Linked DNA regions of Mus musculus. The protein of the gene in region 2 purifies or fractionates together with the protein of the main gene of each other region. This does not show direct contact. Links are inferred from orthologs where the notes say so. Each region holds a gene or a part of one and is shown on either strand. Other genes may lie near its edges. The genes, in order: Mybbp1a, Sirt7 and Ubtf.

What was found.
Region 1: the proteins of Sirt7 (region 2) and Mybbp1a purify together in Homo sapiens (affinity purification with western blotting; 3 studies listed by BioGRID, with this or other methods). This does not show direct contact. The link is inferred for Mus musculus from reciprocal best matches to the Homo sapiens genes SIRT7 and MYBBP1A.
Region 3: the proteins of Sirt7 (region 2) and Ubtf purify together in Homo sapiens (affinity purification with western blotting; 3 studies listed by BioGRID, with this or other methods). This does not show direct contact. The link is inferred for Mus musculus from reciprocal best matches to the Homo sapiens genes SIRT7 and UBTF.

Annotation. Positions count from the first base shown.
Region 1 is NC_000077.6:72,438,343-72,445,652, reverse strand, and holds the start of Mybbp1a (myb-binding protein 1A), read right to left. Parts: upstream 4,327-7,310; 5' UTR 4,270-4,326; coding exon 4,078-4,269; intron 3,976-4,077; coding exon 3,880-3,975; intron 3,254-3,879; coding exon 3,170-3,253; intron 3,084-3,169; coding exon 3,009-3,083; intron 2,908-3,008; coding exon 2,800-2,907; intron 2,178-2,799; coding exon 2,002-2,177; intron 1,913-2,001; coding exon 1,745-1,912; intron 1,651-1,744; coding exon 1,533-1,650; intron 972-1,532; coding exon 676-971; intron 478-675; coding exon 367-477; intron 46-366; coding exon 1-45. UniProt on the Homo sapiens protein: May activate or repress transcription via interactions with sequence specific DNA-binding proteins. Repression may be mediated at least in part by histone deacetylase activity (HDAC activity).
Region 2 is NC_000077.6:120,615,846-120,623,159, forward strand, and holds the end of Sirt7 (NAD-dependent protein deacetylase sirtuin-7), read right to left. Parts: intron 6,367-7,314; coding exon 6,296-6,366; intron 6,209-6,295; coding exon 6,136-6,208; intron 5,211-6,135; coding exon 5,112-5,210; intron 5,039-5,111; coding exon 4,802-5,038; intron 4,660-4,801; coding exon 4,579-4,659; intron 4,425-4,578; coding exon 4,318-4,424; intron 3,924-4,317; exon of another isoform or gene 3,446-3,923; coding exon of another isoform or gene 3,304-3,445; intron 3,205-3,303; coding exon 3,003-3,204; 3' UTR 2,526-3,002; downstream 1-2,525. Other genes in the region: Pcyt2 (ethanolamine-phosphate cytidylyltransferase), read right to left, coding at 4-92, 1,919-2,007. UniProt on the Homo sapiens protein: NAD-dependent protein-lysine deacylase that can act both as a deacetylase or deacylase (desuccinylase, depropionylase, deglutarylase and dedecanoylase), depending on the context. Specifically mediates deacetylation of histone H3 at 'Lys-18' (H3K18Ac).
Region 3 is NC_000077.6:102,305,129-102,310,816, forward strand, and holds part of Ubtf (nucleolar transcription factor 1), read right to left. Parts: intron 5,449-5,688; coding exon 5,315-5,448; intron 5,205-5,314; coding exon 5,063-5,204; intron 4,782-5,062; coding exon 4,740-4,781; intron 4,640-4,739; coding exon 4,526-4,639; intron 4,425-4,525; coding exon 4,269-4,424; intron 3,922-4,268; coding exon 3,766-3,921; intron 3,682-3,765; coding exon 3,571-3,681; intron 3,190-3,570; coding exon 3,101-3,189; intron 3,011-3,100; coding exon 2,821-3,010; intron 2,164-2,820; coding exon 2,116-2,163; intron 2,023-2,115; coding exon 1,951-2,022; intron 1,872-1,950; coding exon 1,728-1,871; intron 1,639-1,727; coding exon 1,513-1,638; coding exon of another isoform or gene 1,434-1,512; 3' UTR 1-1,433. UniProt on the Homo sapiens protein: Recognizes the ribosomal RNA gene promoter and activates transcription mediated by RNA polymerase I (Pol I) through cooperative interactions with the transcription factor SL1/TIF-IB complex.

The DNA.
Region 1 (7,310 bases), about 48 Mb from region 2:
GGCGTAGCCTTCTTCGTCTTAAAGAAGGCATGGAACAAGCAAAACCTGCGAGCAAATCAGCAGCGGCATGGGGAGACGCCCTTCACTGGACCATGCAAGGGCCACTTCTCTAGTTTGACCCTCTGAACATAAGCAGGCCACCTGAGATCAAGTGGAGGAGCCAGAGCTGCTTGCTACAGAACCCATAGATTGAGTCTGAACCTTTGCTTTCCCTCATCTCTTTCCTCCATAGGAAGCATACCCAGTAGATACCCTATTGCATGCCAGCAACGTAACCTGAAGGCTTCTGGCTCCACGGGAACCAAACAAGGACCAGGCAAGGGACCTAGTTTCGTAGTCATGCCACCCACAGTGTCCCTCACACACCTGGCTATTTGCTCAACCACAGCTTCATCCTTCTCCAGATGCAAATGATCCACAAGGCTGACCAGGCGGTGGATGATCCACTTCCGGAGCCGGAATACAGCTCGCTCAGGCCTGGAAGCAGAGGCCATGTAAGTGACCTCAGAAACAGGGTACCCCTTTGCCCCGGGATCACCCGCACCCTGCCCCGACCTCTTGTCAGGAGAAACAAGGGCACAACCAAGGGCTAACTTTCCTCCTCTCCTGCCTCTAGTTTGAAGCCATGGCACTCAGGCTTTGAGCTCCTCAGAGCTCCTGACACGTGCCACTCACACATTCAACGAGGCGTCCTGAGCTCTCTTCTGGTTGGCAGTGCTGAAGTCAACCAAGGAGTTCAGGTCAGGCTGCAGGAACATGTCCCGCAACCAGGCCACATAGCTCTGCAGGGCTTCAGCATTCAAAAACCGCGTGACACGCCAGAAGGTAGGCATGACAGGGAGACCTTGATTGGTGATGGTTGTAAAGGCCACCATCATAGTCAACTGCCGCTTAGGGTCATCCTGGCACCCCTCTAGGAAGGTACCCACGTATGTACTTATCTCTGGGATGATCTTAAATAGGTTTTGGGGCTGCAAGAGATGAGCATGAGTTTGGGTTATCAGAGTGAAGAGGCAGGCAACCACCTTTGTCTATAGAGACTAAACCCAGGACTTCGCCACTCCAGTCACACAGCAGGGCTGAACCTAACTTTGCCACAACTCCATCAAGGTCTATCCTTGATTCCTTAGTTCATCCCCAGCACAAGAAGGTTCCAATTCTCCCTCAAAGATTGCGGACAAGATTGACTGGCATGAAGGGAACCTAAGCTCAAGTCGTGATAGACCAGTACCTACCCGTGCCATCCTGTGGCTCAAAACCCAAGTGCTTTCTGTATAGCCCCCCACCCCCATCACTGTCTTACAGGTGCTAGGCACAAAATGCAGAACACACTGGGGTCAATAACCACTCCCCTCAATGTGACCCCCCCAGCAGTGTTCCAAATAGATGGCTGGCTGGGCCTGCTGGTAAGTGGGCCCCAGGACAAAAGGGCCTGATTACTGGCCAAGTCCTCCCCTACCAGATCTTCAGAGGAAGAACCCCTGCCCTGGCCCTGCAGGCAGCACTGAACCACATGGGAAGACGACACCTACCTTAGAAATAACCATGTTCTCCCCAAAATGGCGGATCAAGTCTCCTCGCATCACCAACTGCAACTGCTCCTCTGACAGAAGCGGCAGAGACGCACCCAGTAGGCGGAAGCACATGTAGCTAAGGAGAGTTGGGGCAGAGCCTGGTCAGAGGCCCTGTACTTGATCAGGTCCCACCCAGGCTGGAGGAGAGGGAAGACCAGTGTCACACACACCTGGATGTCCAGGACGGATTCTTCAGCAGCCCCTCCTCCAAAACCTTCTTCCAGAACAGTTCGAATCTGCTCTCCTTGAGCGCCAGGCGGAGCAGGTCCAGAGCCACATTAGGCAGCTTGTGCTCCTTCTTGACAGAGTTGGCGGCCACCTTCAGGATGTTCACCAGACTAGAAGGCAGAGGAGATTCAGTAAACGTTACCCGGAGGACTACAGTGCAGGACACCCCCGTGAGAACCCACTCACAATCTCCTCAAACCTGGGAATATTGTCTTCTGAGAACAGGTCAACCGAGCCCATGAGTGACTCGAGCTTTGTCGGCACCCTCTGCTTAGCCAGGAGGAAGAGCTCCAAGTACTTGGGAGAGCGGAGGATCACTTTCATGTTACCCTTGAGGACCTTTGGCAGGATCTCCTGGAACATGGACTCTGGGACCTGGAGTGGGGGCACAGGTGGAAAGGGTGGGTCTTGTTCTACCCATGGGCTTCGGATACACCACTAGTCAGTCAACTTGCCAAGCAGCAGACCCCAGCACTGTATTGATGACTAACTGGCCTGGGGTCTATATTCAAAACTATACCTCTTTTTGTTTTGTAAGAGGGCTAGCCGGTGTCATATACACAGAGCCCTATGTGGGGAGCTGCAACTTAAATTCTGGTCTGTCTCCATTTGTGCCAAAAGGACAAATCAGGGACAAGACAGTGGCAAATGACTCTAGATACAAACAGACCCAGGCTTGACCAAACCAACTATGGCAAATGTACTCAGATTGCCTTCTACATACTCAGGCATTGACAAGCACTGTTCCAGACCCACACTAGCCACACAAAGGCCACCAGAGAGGGTTATGGAGTATCTGAACTGCCTAACTGAGTGGACATGTGCTGAGACCCTGAAAGACAAGGCAGATTTAAGATAGTTGGTGAGAGAGGAATAACAAACAAACAAACAACCTCCTCATACCAGTTGCATGGTCAAACCATCTGTCCTCATCATGTTCCTACCCAAATCTTTTCAACGTTTCCCAAATCAGACGGCATGACTTGTGATTCTCTACCTCAGAGAGGATGTCCACCAGAGCCTTTATTGGCTGTCCCTGTAAGTGGTTGGGGTGTTGGGACAGGATCTTCAGCAATTGCACGGACTTCATCAGGGCCTCTTTGTCCTGGTATCCACAGAGAGCAAAAGGTGAAGAGCAGGGTCTGTTACCATCTGTTCCCCTCCAGCCCTAAACCAGTCCCTGCGCCCCGTGCCAAAAGCTCTTACCTTCACTAGGCGGCCTGACTGAAAGAGGGCTAGCACTCCAAAAAGGTTTGCAAAGAGACTAGGTCTCATCATTGCCTAGAAAAAGATTGAAAACACAGGTGAAGAGGGTCCCTCCCCATAGCTGTTCAGGAGCAGGTTGTCTGTCTGGGAATCTCACGCACCTTGTTCATGGCTTGTAGGCTGTATTTTTCTTGTATCTGATCCAGGATGTCACACAATGGGATGTCTTCAAAAGACTGCAACAGCTACCAGGCAAGACCAGAAAGAGCTCAGGAGTGGCCCAGGGACAACAAACCAGACCAAGTCCATTTCCCTCCTTCAGCTTTCCCCAATATAATCTCCGTGCTCCTCCCATCCCTCACAAGCGCTACTGCTTTCAAGGGACCACATCTTACATGGCTAAGCCCCACCTCCATCAAGGCTTCAGAAGGCCTAGGCTGCTTCTGTACCTCTTGGGAAAACCCATCCCATCCAAAGATCCTGTTCTGAGTTGCCTTGAGGCTGGTTAGTCTTCATTGCTTTTTGCTGTACAAATTTCTACGTGGTCTGTCATCAGTTGCCTTCCTAACCTGGAGGCGGCTCCCCAACCTTGCAGAAATCAACCTCAAAGTTCACTACTTCCAGTAACTGTAGCTAATACTCTGTAGCTGATAAACGTGTATCAGAAAGAAAACGTGTTCAACTCTTCCACCTGCCTGGACTTTGCTGTACATAGGCCATGTTTTGGCACTTCCTCCCACCCAAGTAAGGATGCCTGTATCCCCTCTGAAGCATCTCGGATTTCTTCTTACCCCGCAGCTTCGGTGCCCCCTACCCTTAGACGCCACCTTTGCCCAGCGAGATCGTGCCCTTGCCAGACACACAGTCTCACCTGTGCCAGCGCCAGGCTGTAGCAGGGCCTAGCGGCTTCTCGGCCCACCCCAAGCCCAGTGATTAGGCGCTTCAGGGCATATTTCATCTCCGAATCCTACGGAACCAAGAACATCCCTCGTGTTCAACAGTGATCTGAAGGGCCCACCCCTCCCCCTTGCATCCAGAGCCACGATGGGCCTGGGCCCCTCCATCATACATTGGGCCTTGTGCGCAAGTACTCCAACAACTTCTCCGTGGCCCGGAGCCGCGTTTCCTGATCCGGTTTCGCAATGTCCCAGAAGAAGTCCAAGAACTCGCGGCTGTGCTCCAGCAGGCTGTGGCGGTCGCTTTGCGCCGCTTCTGCGGGAGTCGCAGGCTCAGCTTTCGTGGGGCTCTTCATCTCCGCCATGCTGAGCCAAACACGTGGGCTCAGAAGACAGTCACTTCCAGGTCAGGTCTCGGCGCCTGCGCACTGGGACGTCCGAGTGAGGGCGGGGCCTAGCAGGTTGGAAGTGGCTTCCGTACGGCCTTGCCTTTCCCTTGTGGCTGTGGGTGGAGCAGAGTGTTCTCACACGCGCGTGTGCTCAGAAACTGATGCTTCGATCTCTTCCTTTAACCTGGAGGAGTTCCTGACGACCGGAGGTGCAAACAAATCCACGAAAAAGCCGTAGTATGATCTCTTCCCAGACCCGGGTCTGCTCGCGATCTAGTCCGAGACATCCGCTATTATTCCGCTTTTATTGTGTGCATCCGAACAAAGCCGCGGCTTCTGTGGACTTCCTTTCTAGTGGGAAGAGATGGTTGATGAACGAGTAGACAAATACATTTTAAATGATAGTTATGAGGAAAATAAGGAATGTAGGGAGCAGAGGGAGCCTTTTAAATGTTAAAAAACGTGAAAACATCGCCTGTTAAAAATTAAAGGGAGGGGCTGGAGAGATGGCTCATCGGTTAAGAGCTCTGACTACTCTTCCAGAGGTCCTGAGTTCAGTTCCCAGCAACCACATGGTGGCTCACAACCATCTGTAATGGGATCCAATCCACTCTTCTGGTGTGTCTGAAGACAGATACAGTGTATTCATAAAAATAAACAGCCGGGAGGTGGTGGCACACGCCTTTAATCCCAGCACTTGGGAGGCAGAGACAGGCGGATTTCTGAGTTTGAGGCCAGCCTGGTCTACAAAGTGAGTTCCAGGACAGCCAAGACTATACAGAGAAACCCTGTCTCGAAAAACCAAAAAAAAAAAAAAAACAAAAAACAAAAAAAAAAATAAAATAAAATAAACAACATTTTCTTAAAAAAAAAAAATTAAAGGGAAGCCGGGCATGGTGGTGCACACCTTTGATCCCAGCACTTGGGAGGCAGAGGCAGGTGGATTTCTGAGTTCAAGGCCAGCCTGGTCTACAAAGTGAGTTCCAGGGCAGCCAGGGCTACACAGAGAAACCCTGTCTCGAAAAACCAAACCAAACCAAAACAAAACAAAACAAAAAAAACCAAAAAACCCAAAACCACACACACACACAAAAACAAAACCAAAAAAAAAATTAAAGGGAAAATTCTATAGATTCTAAGATTCTATTTAAGAGACCATGACAAGACTGACATGTGAGCTGACAGCTGAGGGACAAGATGGGCTCTATTGTCCCCAGGGCAAAAATCTAAGAGCAGGCCAAGGACATTTCTTCTACAGAGGCCACTCATCTCTTACGGGAATGAGGTCAGTAAGGTGAGGAGGAGGACTCAGGTGCCAGGAGCAAGGTTATATAGAACCCAGGGCCAGGCTCAAGGGTTCAGAATTTCTTCAGAGAGTGCAGGGAGGATTTACATCTGATTTACAGTTTTAAAAGGTCAACTGTTAGCTGAGAGCAGCCACAGCCCGTGGCTGTGAGTACCGAGGCAGTGAATTATGCTGGAGTAAGGCCTTGGCTAACCTATGGCAAATGTCAACGTAGGCGATGACCTGGGCCAAAGGAGATGATTTGCTAGAAAGGACACCAGGCTAAAAGCTAAAATCGTTGAATAGATGGTGGAATCATTGCGCCTAGCAATGTTTTGTCTGAGAGAGAAGTGGAGATGGTACAATTAAGAGCTCTGCTAGCTTGGGTTTGGGGATATGGTATGGAAATAGAACACCAGCCAAGCACATCAGTGCTCTAAATTTGATCCCCAAGCCAACAAAACAAAACAATTAGCTGACTGTGTTGGTGATCCTGTAATCCCAGTGCCTGGGCCAGACTGGATTACACAGGGAGACTCTGCCTTAAAAAACAAAATTATAGAGACAAGGGATATGGCGTGTTAGTGAAAAGCACTTACTAAACCGGGCGCGGTGGTGCACGCCTTTAATCCCAGCACTCGGGAGGCAGAGGCAGGCAGATTTCTGAGTTTGAGGCCAGCCTGGTCTACAGAGTGAGTTCCAGGACAGCCAGGGCTATACCGAGAAACCGTGTCTGGAAAAAAAACAAAACCAAACAAACAAAAAATCACTTACTACTATTGCAGAGGATCAAGGTTCAGTTCCCAGCACCCATATAGCAGCTCACATCTGTAACCCCAGTTACAGGGGAGCCAAAGCCCTCCTCTGACCTCAGACAGAAGAAGCATGTGGGACATGTGCATATATGCAGTTCACACACACACAGAAGATAAAAGCATCTTTTTTTTTTTTTTGAGACAGGGTTTCTCTGTGTAACTCTGGCTGTCCTGGAACTCACTCTGTAGACCAGGCTGGCCTCGAACTCAGAAATCCACCTGCCTCTGCCTCCCAAGTGCTGGGATTAAAGGCTTGTACCACCACTGCCCGTCTAAAAGTATCATTTTAATTAAAAAAAAAAATTAAACCCTCAAACCCTTAAATAAGAATTTCCTTTCTCTTTGTCAGGTAGGGGAAGTGCTACTGGGTGTCCTTGCTCTTGGCCTGAGGAACTATTTCTAAAGGGTTGTATTCAAGAGATCTCAGAGATCAGGAACAACCCAGTTCCAGCCCTTCTGTACCCAGGGGAACCTCCTACTCATTTTCCCAACCCTTCTCTGCTCTGCCATCTGTTCTACACGTGAAACTAAGAGATTTACCTTGTGCAGATGGAACCCCAGAAAGCAGAAGGTGGCTGGAGCAGGGGAAGCCGAAAGAGACAGACCCAGGCTCCTCCCCCTGTGTCTGGCGTTCATCACCTGTGTTGCAAAGGTTAACAGGAAAGTTAGCCAAAGAGCACAGATGTCACTCTGTCCCCGGAAGATTTGAACTTTATTAGCTTCCAGTCCAATTGATAAAGATCAGCAGGGAATGGTCCAGTGGAAGATGGAGCTGCCCACCCTGCCCAAAGACTCAGTAAGGGCTGGTGACCTTCCACTGGGCTTTCCCAAAGGTGAGTGGCACTCAGACTCTTTTTCATCATCTTCTGGTCTTTATTTGATAGAAAAGTCAGAAATTCCATCAGTGTGGGTACCAG
Region 2 (7,314 bases):
TACCATCCGTATGCACACCCACGATGAGGTAGTCCCCCATGGCCCGTGCCTGCCGTAGCTGGTTGGAGTGGCCATAATGCACCATGTCATAGCTGTGAGGACAGACAGGAGACTGAGGGTCTTGTGTGGGATGCAGCACGGCTCCCTGAGAGGCCCCCACCAGGGCTCCTAGCCCAGATCCCGGTGTTGGGCTTACAGCAGAGAAGTCGGTTCTCAGTTGTCCATACCCTAAGTACTGGACCTAGGGCAGGACTGGGTGCCAGGTCTAGCAAGAGTGGCAAATTCAGGTACAAGGCCTGGCTGGTGAACTCCCAAGACAGCTGTTCACTGGCAGATGCTTAACCATTTCCCATGTCTTAGACTGCCTTTGCCCTGTTGGTGCCTCCTGCTATGGGCAGGCATTTCAAGCTGCTTCAGTTCTTTTTCTTTTTTTCTTTTTTTCTTTTTTTTTTTTTAAGACAATAAGGTCTCATGTAGCCCAGGCTGGCCTCAAACTCACTATAAAACCTAGGACGACCTTCAACTCTTGACCCTTTTTTTTCTGTCCTGGAACTTACTTTGTAAACCAGGCTGACCTTGAACTCAGAAATCTGCCTGCCTCTGCCTCCCAAATTCTGGGATTAAAGGTGTATACCACCACGCCCGGCGACTTTCAGCTCTCAACCCTTCTGACTCCATCTGCTGAGATTCCCACCCAAAGCCAACTGTTGGGTGCTACAAAACAAATGTAGGACCTTGTGCATGCTGGGCCAGCATAATACCAGCTGAGCTAGCTACACTCCCAGCCCGCAAGATACAAGAGATTATCTAGGATTTGAATATGGAACCTCCTGCACCCTAAACAAGAATAGTCCCCCTGGATCAACAAGCCACACTCAAGCTTGGAAACAAGAGATCAGTCCTGCATTGGGAGCAGATACTTCCACCCTGACACAAGTGGACAGTTCCCCACCCCCAGGGCTGGCTTAGCTCTCTGAGAGAACAAGTGCCTGTCACCTGCTTTTATCCTCAAATCTAGGTCTGGCCACAAGTACTTTGTCAAGGTCAAGCTATGCAGAAGCCAGCAATATGCTGGACACTGAGGATATCCCAGTGGGATATCCCTGGGACCACCTGTATTCTTTGCCATGGGCCAGTGCTGGGCCATAGGTTCTGCTCTGCTTCCTCTAGAGCCCTAGTGGGCTATCATCATGTCAACACCACAGTGCACGGGGTGGGAGGTGGGACATGATAACGGGCAAATTCCAGGACAGCCCTTGTGCCCACTAGACAGGCAGGGCTAGATCAAAGGTCAGAGTCTGCATCTGGGCTTGTGGCACCATGGTGGGGCCAAGGTCATAGTCCACTGACACGAAGTCAAAGCTGGTGACTCAGGTGCAAAAGAACAGAAGGGGACTGAAGTTGTAATTCAGTGATGGAGCACTTGCCTGTACATATATAGCACACAAGGCTATGGTTCCCATCCTCAGCAACCAACCAAAGACAAACAAGAAACGCACAAAGTCTAGCCTATTCCGCCATGAATGCCCTGAGGAGCCCTGGTGACCATTCCGAATGCCTCTCATCCACCAGGGGTAGGCACGACGAAGGGCTGAAGATGGTAAGTTATAGAAAGGCCAACATCTTATCTCTTCGGCTTGTTGACAGCTCCAGGACTTTCTTGGAGACGTCACGGGCTGATTTGCCAGAGAAGCTCACAGCCTTCCAGCCCAGGTAATTTGGGTAAATGCCCAAGGCGAACAGACAGCCGCATTTCCGGTTTTCGGGGAGCGCACCGTCTGATGCACCCGTGTCTGTACGCTACACTCCTAAGTGACCGGAGGCCAGGTTGCCTCGTGCGGCCTCGGAAGACTCCGGTTCCGCCAACGGCCGGTGCGTGACGCCCAGGTGACCGCCCTCCCCTCGTCGCCCCACTCACCAGCCATCGCACCACACCCGCACGATGCGCTGATCTCCCGGACCCTTCAGCCCAGCAGCGCTGGCAGCCCCGTGCCCGTTCCGGATCATGGCACCGGAGGCCCCCCGCAAATCCTGGCGGCTCCCGCGACACACAGTACCGTCGCCCCGCCCTCGACGCTTGCGCGTGCTCACGCGGATCTCACCCGCTTGGCGCAGCCAATGGCGTGCGCCAACCAGGGCCCCGCCCCCAGCCGGGCCACACCCCCCTCCGCCCAGATCGAGCGGCCAATGGTCTGTGTTGCAGGTGCCCGGGCTTTGGCATTTGACTTCTCCACAGACGAACGGGGCAGGTTAGCACCACAACTGTGCGTGCAGCTCACCCCGTGCCTTAAGCATTCTTAGGAGCCGGGCAGTGGTGGCGACCCCTTTAATCCCAGCACTTGGGAGGCAGAGGCAGGAGGATCTCATGAGTTCCAGGACAGCCAGGGCTACACACGGAAACCCTGTTTCAAAAAAACCAACCAACCAAAAGCATTTTCAGGGGCTGGGTTCTTCAAAAGCGCCTCGATGCAGGCCCTCAGATGCAGGCACCTCGGTGGTGCGTGTGACAGTCATCGGGACACCAAAGCAATTGAGAGATGTTTAATAAGACTTGCTCAGACTGGAGGCTTAGTTAGATTCTCCCTGTGCCGCATACCCAATACAGAAAAAGGCTTCTATAAAGTGAACACTTGTACGTGATAAGGAGTAGAAAGAGGGAGGCCCTGAGACTAGCCTGGAGAGTGAGGTAAGGCAGTGGTGGACTCTCCTGCTGGCCAGGCCTGGGAAGGGCCGGAGCTCTTCTCACAGAGGCCTTGCTGCCACCTTTGTACAGGGGTGAACAGGAGGGAGGTGTCCTTGAAGATCAAGCCCATAGCGGGGCAGTCACAGCAGTGCAAGAGAGCCTTTCCACAAGGACAAATGGCTAAAGACGACCGTCACCGCGAAGCCGGCACCCACTAGAGCCGGAGGGGGCACTCTCGCCTTCACGGCGACACGGGCGGAGCCCCTGAACAAGGGTCAAGCCATCTGCAAAGTGCCAACTGTTCTTTGTCAACTCCGGGCTATGCCACTTTCTTCCTTTTTGCACGCTTGGCACAACCCCTGCCAAACCAGCCTCCTAGGATAGGGGGAGCTGAGGCAAGGGGGTCACTCTGGTCCCCAGGTGGGGCTTCTTCTCTGCTTCTGCATAGTGACTTCCTACTGTGGCTGCCTTCTTCACCAGCACGGAGGGGGGTCGCCAAGGAGAAGATTGGATCCTGCCACCTAACAGAAAGAAAAGCAGCATCAGGCAGGTCTGAAAACCCCTCGAATCGCAACCCTCCCAGGCACAGGAAAGCTGTCTGAGGCCACCTGCCATCCCACCTATGTCTTAATCTGGGCTTTGGCTGGAAGCAGCGTCAGTGACACCAAGCTGCAGGGGACACCAAGCTGCAGGGGAAAGTCTTCAGGGCAGCAGCAGCCCTCGCTCGACAGCCTCTTCTGTCTCACCCACTGTTGGTGGGAGCTGCACACATAGGAAGGGGTAGTGCTAGCCACAGGATGGCCTCACCTCCAAGGATAACTTGCTAGCAACTCTGGGCCCCGTCTCTCACTTGTATGGATAGGGGCAGATGGACCAGACCCTTTTCCCTTTCCCAGACTGCGTGACAGGGATGGGGGCGGGAAGAGGCCGGTTGACTGGGGAGGTGTGGCCTACAGACTACACCATGAAGAAATCATGTGTCTGATTGAAATGTAGAACCACATATTATAAACGTAAGATAAAAGTAAGCACTGATTAAAAAATGAGCTAAGTTAATGTTAAAAAAAAAAAAAACAACAACAACAACCAATAACAACATCAACAATGTGGCACAGGAGAGGCCCACGTCACAGAACACCACAAACATAACATACAAGAATTGCCAGGCCCAGAGGTGAAGGGATCCTTAATTTCTTGAACCCTTTGATTAAAAGAAGTTATTGATTTCCCCTATAAGACCCTGAAAATTCACAGAGAAAGAAAGTGTAAACTTTTCACTCAATATACACACCAAGTCTAAATTATCACAATTCTGTATCAAGGCAATTTGCTTCAGTTTTCCCCAAATATCCCCACACCAAGGACAGAGATTGTGTCTGACCAGAGCTGCAGTTCTCACCCCTCTCGGCTGTCCACCCAGGCTGCACACCATCTGTGGGAGCATCCTGTAGAGCACACTGGCAGATCCCCCTCAGAGATTCTGGGCACCGTACCAGTCAGGGGGGAAGAGTGTGCACGTGTGGTGGAGCCTTGCCTCAGCCAGTCCCTCTGAGGCCCACAGCAGACAGACACGGCCCATCACACGGAGGGGAGGGACGGGGCAGGAATGCAGGGGGCACGCTGCGCCCACTCACCGGTTGTAGACAGGAATCTCCAGGCCCAGTTCATTCATGAGGAGTTGCATGACATCATCACACTTCCCATGGAGTTTCAGGGCAGCCCAGTCATCCTTCGGGGTCCACTAAAGACAAGGAAGGCAGATGAGGGCCTCCCGGCAGACTGGCTCACCACTCCCCAGGAACACAATGGAACCTGTACAAGACTTTCAGGATCTCCCCGGCTCTTCCCATCTGAGCCCCGGGTCTGAGGAGGAAGCTCTAAGCACCCGCTGTTACCTGCAGGTTCACGATGTAGAGTTTGGGTCGACGGCTTGGAGGCTTCGTCATGCACCAGAGGCGGGGATATTTCTTTAGTACCTGTTCCAGCGGGCAGACACAACAGAGTAGAGGAGGATGAGTAAGACGCAAACCTACCACCCGCTCACGGCTGATGGCTCTGGGGAGGCAAGCCAGCAACATGCTCAATCCACAACGAGTTCATGGTATGGTCGGCACATACCTTCAAGCTGGACCCTAAACACAGGATTGTGTCTGCTTTGCTAGCAGCCTCGGTCGCTGCCTCCCAGTTCAGAGGCTGCCCTAATGTCCCCCTCTCCCCAAAGTGCACAATGGTATCCCGAAGCTGGGTCCCGCACTTGTGGCAGGTCCGGCCTGTCAGGTGTCGGTGAAGGGCAGTACGCTCAGTCACATCAAACACTCGTACATACTCTCTGTTAGGGATGCAGGAGGTGCAGACCTGGGACAGAGAGGGCACAGTGAGTGAGATCTGCCTGTCACCCAGGCCCCGGGTCCCCCTCGGTACTGCTCACTTCAATATACATATTCCCATGGAGCTCTGAGATGGCGGTCCGGGGCAACCCACTCCGCAGGTGGAGCCCATCACAGTTCTGAGACACCACGTGTTGCACCTGGAAGACAGAACGTGGTGGCAGTAAGTAAGGTGGCAGGAGGAAGCACCCTGCGGCAGTGGAGTTATTCTAAGCCCAGAGACAAGGGACAAGGTTCCTAAAACAAGGAGGCAACTCAGGAAAGCCCTGAGGTAGAAAGGCGCCATGTTCTTTCTCTTCTACTAACTCTAATGTACTGGGAGCAGCTAGGAGGGCAAGCATCTGTCCTGGTCCTGCAAGCTGAGCAGCAGTTTGGGGCACTGGTCACATAGGGTGGGCAGGACTACACACACCTTGGATCGATAACTTCTTGGGTCATCCATCATCTTTCATGTCCCTTCCCCCAAATCCCAGGCATATCTGCTTCCCCGCTTGCTCAGCGGATCTCTGGAAGTTTCTGTTGAGTCTCCTCTGAAGCTAGGCTGTCGTCTAAAGGCCCTGAATGGAACCTGAATACCACAGCTATTCTTCCTTTTTTTTTTTTTTTTCCGAGACAGGGTTTCTCTGTGTAGTCTTGGCTGCCCTGGAACTCACTTTGTAGACCAGGCTAGCCTCGATCTCAGAAATCCGCCTGCCTCTGCCTCCCGAGTGCTGGGATTAAAGGCGTGCGCCACCACGCCCGGCTACAGCTACTCTTCTTGAAGAGAAAGCAGAGCAGGGAGCACACAGATGTCCGAGCTACTAGACTATTTATCTATCACAGGGCTGACTAGGAGGCAGGATGGCTTCCCACCTGGGCACTGAGGTATAGCTCTGGGTTCTTTCCAGCTTTTTGTTTTTGTTTGTTCTTTTGTTTTGTTTTTCCAAGACAGAATTTCTCTGTGCAGCCATGGCTGTCCTGGAACTCACTCTTGACCAGGCTGTCCATGAACCCAGAGACTCCCCCTGCCTCTGCCTCCCAGGCACTGGGAGTGAAGGTGTGCGCCACCATGGCCGGCTTTCTTACCAGCTTTTGCTCATGCAAACGGGTGATGCTCATGTGGGTGAGGGTAGGCTCCGCTTCGCTTAGGTCGGCAGCACTGTACGGTTGGAGAAAACAGAGGTGAGAGGGCGGCCAGATGACGCAGCTCGCCTCTAATCGTGGGAGAAAGCTGTGACATGCTCACCTCACAGGCCTTCCTTTCTGAAGCAGTGTCCATACTCCATTAGGACCCCGATAATCTGGGATAGAAGCTGCCTGCACATTCGGACAAAAAGAGATACCACAGGTACTGCAGTATTCCCCACAGAGGACATGCCTATAAATCAGTGTCTGTCCCATCCACTGCTGACCTGACTCTCAAGTGGGATGCACCCCAGTATGGCTCTTTCCCTCCATCCAAGTGACTTTCTTGTCCTGCCTGGACCAGCTCACCCTTCCACATACCAAACAGAGAACCCTACTCTACTTCAAGATCCTTTCTAACAGTGAGCAGCTGTGTCCACATCTGTCTTGAACACAGAAGGGGACAACTGGTCAGGCGCATCAGTGTCTGAAGGAACAGATTTTAGAGCGCAGGTCATGCTTAGCAAATAGCCCCGGGAGGAAGCGCTCTGTCCACACACTTAAATCCTGCGGCTCTGAGGTTTTTATTCCAACTTAACATAAAACCTCTACAGACAGATGAGTGTTAAGTCATTTTCCACGAGAGACAAACAACCAACCAACAACAACAATAACAAAAAAGAAAACCATCTAGAAGCCAGGAGTCTTTGGATCCTGGCTGGGGAAGCCCTGTATACATTGTTGCTTAAGAGCAGAGAAGTGCCCGCCCTGGCAGGTAATTCCAATACATCGAGGAACCTCAAACGGTGCTTAGACCGCGTTTAAGAGCTGCAATTGGTCTTTAGTAGCCACCAGGTTTGCAGAGTTACTGCTGTAGAGTCATAACTGGATCATCAGATGGCTATGAAGGGCTGGGCCCCACATGCTGCTGTCCTTGATGTCTGAGATGACGCAGCAAATGCTCCTGACATTGCTCCTGGGCCACTGTCCCCACAATTCCCTGCAGAGCCCTACTCAATGCCACCACAGCAGCAAGGCCACACTAGGGCTTTCCAGTTCTGGCATTTGTGTCTGGCCCTATAGTTGTTTTTGCACCTGTGTGCTTGTGACTGCTGGCTGCTACCTTTGTAACAAAGGTCC
Region 3 (5,688 bases), about 18 Mb from region 2:
TGGGCTGCAGCCTACTTTCTGTGGAGAGCCTACTTCCCACCTCTGGCTTTCATTTAAGAAGCAAAACCCAATAGCACGAACAAAAATTCTGGCCAACATAGTAAAACTGATAATCACCACAGGTAAAGGTGACTAGGATTTCACCGTCAAGGGACTGACCCTCTTCAGAAGGTCCCAAACTGCTGGCAAGCAGTTAGAGGAGCAGTTGCAGAGAGCATCTTCTGCATACAGGGGTGGCGGCAGGAAAGAGGGAGCAGACCTGAGAACTCAAAGGAAATGGGGATGGCCAGAGGACACGGGGCAAGGCAGGAAGAACTTCCTGAAGCCCAGGGCACCAGAGAAAAGCTTTAAGGCTCATGCCATGGTTTGCCCCTCCCACTTTCCTGCTGGACAGCACAGACCTGCAGCAGCTCAGGGACATGGCCTTGGCAGGGGCAAACTAGTATAGGAAGCATCAGGTGGTGTCCCTGAACCCCACAATGGAAGATGGCAGGGAGGGGCAGCCTTGGTTTGTTCCTGCTAGGGACACCATCTCCCAGGCCTCTACCGACCCTTTTTCCAGATTCAAAGAGACAGGCTCTAGACACACACACACACACACACACACACACACACACACACACACACACACTCTTCTCTCTCTCTCCTATCCACAGGCGCAGTCATGCTGTATCGCTCGCTCACGTGTGTGCACATCACACACACAGCCTCACACACACACACACACACACACACACACACACACACACAGCCTCACACACATTCTATGCATACCTAGACCTTTTTTTTTTTTTTAAGTCTCAATCCACCCCATCCCAGGCCCTCCCAGTCCCAGAAATGACAACAGAGACGGCAGCCGAGATCGGTAGGAAACGTCTCGTTGACAGCTCAGAGCTTAAAAAAAAAATATATACACACATATATAAAAAAACACTCTGCCCCTCCCCCACGAACGGGTCCAGGCAGCTCCTTCCTGCAGGGGCAGGGAAGAGGGACAGGGCCACTGCCTGCTTTCTTGAAGGCAGCACCCTTGTCTCCCTCCAGTTCAATGTGGGGGGTCCAGGTAGCAAGCCCATCTGGGAAGGAAAGGCCCCCCGAACATCCACCTTGCTGCAGGCTGCAGGTGTGGAGGTCTCACCAAACTCTTTAAGACTCTCTCCCACCCCCAAACTCCCCAGTCCATTGTCCATGCCGGAACTGCAAATGCAGAAGAGGGGCAGGGTGGGCCCGTCCAGCGCTGGCTCAGTCTGATGGTTGCTGTCCCTGGAGAACCCTGGAGCTGAGGCTCCAAGGCTGCAGAGTCCTAGCTTGGGCTCATGCAGCCTCCTACCCCCCACTGATTTAAAAAACAAAAAAGAAAGAAAGAAAGAAAGTGGGGAAGTCTGGAGGGTACGGGACAGAACACAGGGAGAGACAAAGGTTGTCAAAGGTTGTCAGTTGGGGAGATGAGCTCTGCAGGGGCTCTCTCCTTGGCTGCCTGCCTGCCTGCCTGCCTGGGGTGGAGGCTGAGCCTCAGTTGGAGTCAGAATCCGAAGAGTCCCCTGAGGATGAAGAGCTGGAGCTACTGCCCTCAGACTCGTTGTCTTCATCCTCATCGTCGTCATCTTCGTCATCTTCATCGTCGTCGTCATCATCATTCTGGGAGAATAAAGACCCCACCGTCACCGTGTGTGTGGCCCTCCTGGTGATCTACAACAACCCTCCCTCCCACCACGCCTCCTGCCCACCTCATCCCCATCCTCGCTTTCATCTTCACTGCTGGACTCAGAAGAGTCCCCGCCATCCTCAGAAGAGTCACCGTTCTCATCATCTTCCTCTTCCTCCTCCTCCTCGTCGTCCTCCTCCTCCTCATCGTCATCCTCCTCGGACTCCTGGGAGGTGTGGAGACGCATCAGCAGCCAGATACACCCACCTTGCCAGCCACCCACCCACCTTGCAGGGGTGCCTTACCGACTTGGACTGCAGGGTGGTCCGGCTAGACTTGGGGTTTGGGCCTCGGAGCTTGGTCATGTTCTTACGTTTCTGACAGAAAGGATGGGAAGGGGGCTGAAGTGAGTCCCAGCCCCTGCAGAGTCCCTCCAGCCTCCCCCTCCACTGCCTTGTGCTCCTGCTTACATTGGAGATGTATTCTTTGTATGCTGCGCGGTCCTGGGGAGACAGGCTCTGGGGAGAAAGAACTGGGAATAAGATCAACCCCATCCTACAGCTGGCTGCATACGCCGACGTCCACTGGGCAGAGCTCCCACATACCTTATCTTTACACTCAGTCTCCTAAACTTTGGGTCCCTGCAGAAAGCTTTTAGGGGCTCAGAACATAACTCCTGATTCTGAACACTGAACCAAGTCAGTTTTCATAGCAATGCCCTACCCCCAACTGCCGTTTCCAAATGGTAGCCCTGTACCTAGGGCTTCTTTAACTGCAAAGCATGCCCCCCCCCAATGACTCACGAGGTCAACCCCACCTGGACCCCAGTCTTTGAAATGACGACGAAGACTGACAAAATTCTTGAACACTGAATTCCTGCCATCCCTCTGGGTCTTTGGTTAGCCTATCTGAGTGACAGGTAATTCTCCCTGGACAAATGTGACCATTCAAGCACAGCAGTGGAGACTGCCAGCCTAGCCAGGCCCTACAAGTCTCCTGGTCCTTGCTTGAACGAAGAGCACCCAGTCTACACAAACTGTCTACTATGTAACCTTGGCAAATGACTTGATACCTTGGCTTGCTTAGCTTTAAAAAATGTCAGTACCCACTGCCCCGCAGGACTTCCCAGTCCCTGCAGGCACTCCCTTCCAAGGTGCCTTTGTCCTCTCTCTCACCTTGACCCAGAGGTCCAAGTGCACCTTGTACTGCCTCTGTTGCTCCTCCGCCAGCTTCTTATAGTGCTCCTTCTGGCTCTGGGAGATGCGCTGCCAGCGGCTGCCAATCTCCACCATGCGCTCCTTCAGCGGCAGGTGATTTAGCTCCCCATTGGACAGCAGCTCCTGGGAGAACTTCTGGTAACCGTTCCTGCAGCGTGGGGTGACAGGGACAGTCAGGGTCCTAAGGGAGCCGCCTTCTAAGCCCTGTCTACACCATAGGTCCCAGCCTCAGGCTTACATAGGAGGTTTCTTGGGTTCTCCCTGGAACTTCATCTTCTTGGAAGAGTTTGTAGCAGCTGGAGGGGCCCGCATCTCACTTAACTCTCTCTGTGGAGAGAGACGGAGAGGTCACACCCACACCCGCACTCCCCACCCCACTGGCGGGGGAGATCTCAACTCGGCAGAGATTAAGGCAGGAGGAGCTAGAGCTGGTAGTGGTAGCTAGCTGGGATCCATAGCAGGACTCTTCTCAAAACAACTGCTGGACAAGTCACTGCACCAAGAGGGTCGTTTCAAAAATGTTCCCTGAAATGGAAGTAGTCCCGTCCCGCCCCCCCCCCCCCCCCCCGCCAAAATCACCCAAGAGGCTAGTACCTTGACGCCCACCTAGCCTATGCCAGGCCGGAAGTTAAGAGACTGGCTCAGGGTCTTAAACAAAGCTGGCCCTCCTGGCCCATCATGGAGGCAGGTGGCCCAACCCCTTCCCACCTCATATCGTTTTTGGTCTTCTGCTGCCTTCTTAATCCACATCAGCTTCTCCTTCTTCTCCATGTTGTTCCAAGTCATCTCCATGGCTTTCAAGGCTTTCACCCGGTCATTCTAAGGTACAAACCCAGGATATCAGTTATGGGAGGGGGTCTGTTGCTAGAGACCATAAACCGATCCTTCCCCACTCTCCGCTACCTTGAAGCGGGCCAGATAGTCTCCGATGACACTCTGCTGCCAGATCTCCTCAGCCCTCTTGGGCGACTCCGGCAGCTTGCCCCTATCTTCACGCTCCCCGCCCGGCTTCCTCTCAGACTGCGCCTTCAGCGCAGCCTCCCGGGCCTTGTATTTAGCCTATAGAAAAAGCAAGGATGTTAACATTCGGGCCACCCCTAGGGGGCGCGCTAAGCCCACCCAGCATTCGTTGCCGGCTCCCTGTTGAGGAGGGCGGGTCCGGCAGAAGCCGTGGGCAGCAGTGACGTCCACCAAGCTCCGCCCCACCCATGGGGCCGCTCTCCAAGGGAGCCAACAAGGAAGCTGAAAGCTTCCCTTCTTCCGGCTCCCGCCCCAGCAATTGAGCCCGGGTACACGGTACACGTGTGATTCACTTCTGGTGCCGGGGAGCGGCTGTAACCGCGCGCATGGAAGTGGCCCAGGAGACCCTTAGGGAAGAGTAGTAGGGGGTCTCTCCAAGGCCCGACCTTCTTCTTCTCGGACAAGTCGTTCCACATGCGGGCCAGAAGGCGGGTCAGTTCGCTTTCGGAGAGCTCAGGTCGTTCCTCCTGTAGCTGCCTTCGCTTCTCCTCAGAGAAGATGAACATAGCAGACACAGGCCGCTTGGGCTTCTCGGAGCCACCCTAAGGGAAGTACGGGGAGTATCGGAGGTACAATTGCCACTAGCCTCCTCCTGTGAGCGGCTCCATCCTGGCCCCCACCCCCACGGGCATGGGACACTCACCTTGCCACCTTCCTGTGAAGGCTTCTTGGAGGCCGGACTGGTGGTTTGCTTCTTATTGATGTTCAGCATCTTCTCCTCCCCCAGAACCCGCTGCTGCTCTTCCTCCGGCAAGCTCTAGGTAGGAAGAAGGGTATGGGGCTGCAGCAGGCAGGTAGGCCGGCTCCTCGGACTCCAGAATGCGCCCTCTGCCCACCTCAAGGTGGTGCCTACTTACCTCAAGGAACCGCAGCAGCTCTACCTCATAATCTTTCTTTTTCTAGGAAAGTAAGGGGATTCAGTGAGTTGGGGTCAGCCTCCATTCTCCTGGGCCAGCCAGCCTCAGCAGGCCCCTAGGGACTGGGTGTATGTAACCTTCTCACCCCCTGAAGATGGCAGCCAAGAGGCCTGACAGACAGGGGAGGCTAAACCCGGCCCAGGCTGAAGGCAGGTGGCTGAGGCACCTGTAATCAGTGAGTTACTGAGCCCAGGCAAAGCTCATGCGCTAAACCCCAAGTCAAGACCCCGAGCTCGGGGTGGCCTGGCACCTGCCCTGCGCACCTGGTCACATTTCTTGTGATAGGCATCCTTCTCCTTCTGAGAGAGCAGCTTCCATTGCTGGCTGCATAGCACCATGCGCTCTGTGCTGGGCACATCCTTCATGTTGGCCATGAGCTCCGCACAGTACAGGGAGTAGCTGTTCCTATTGAATCCGGAGGAAGGCACACCCATGAGCAAACGGGACTGGGTTCAAGTTCTTCACGAACAACTCCCTGATGGCCCACTCGCCCACCCATCCAGGGCGGTGCTCACGGAGGCGGCTTGGTAGGTCGCCCATCGAACTTGTCCTTGAGCTGGCGCTCGGCCTTGGTGAGGGTGGACTTGGTGATGCCTTCCTCACTGATGTTCAGCTCAGGGTGCTTCTGGATATAGTCCCGCATAATCTCCTGCAGAGGGAGGTAGGGGAGCGGAGGGTAATGGGGTGTGGGGTTAGCGGGGACAACATAAGGGGGAGAGCCGCTGGGGAGGGGAGGCAGGGAGCAAAGCTGGGGATGGCCGTGTGTCTGTGTGTCTGCTGTGTCATCTGCAATATGGTGTCCTGCTCTGCCCTAGCCTGAGATCTCTCGGGTGGGAACGGGGCTTGTAAGACGGTAGGGACAGAGGAAAGGGGCCCAAAAGGCCCCTCC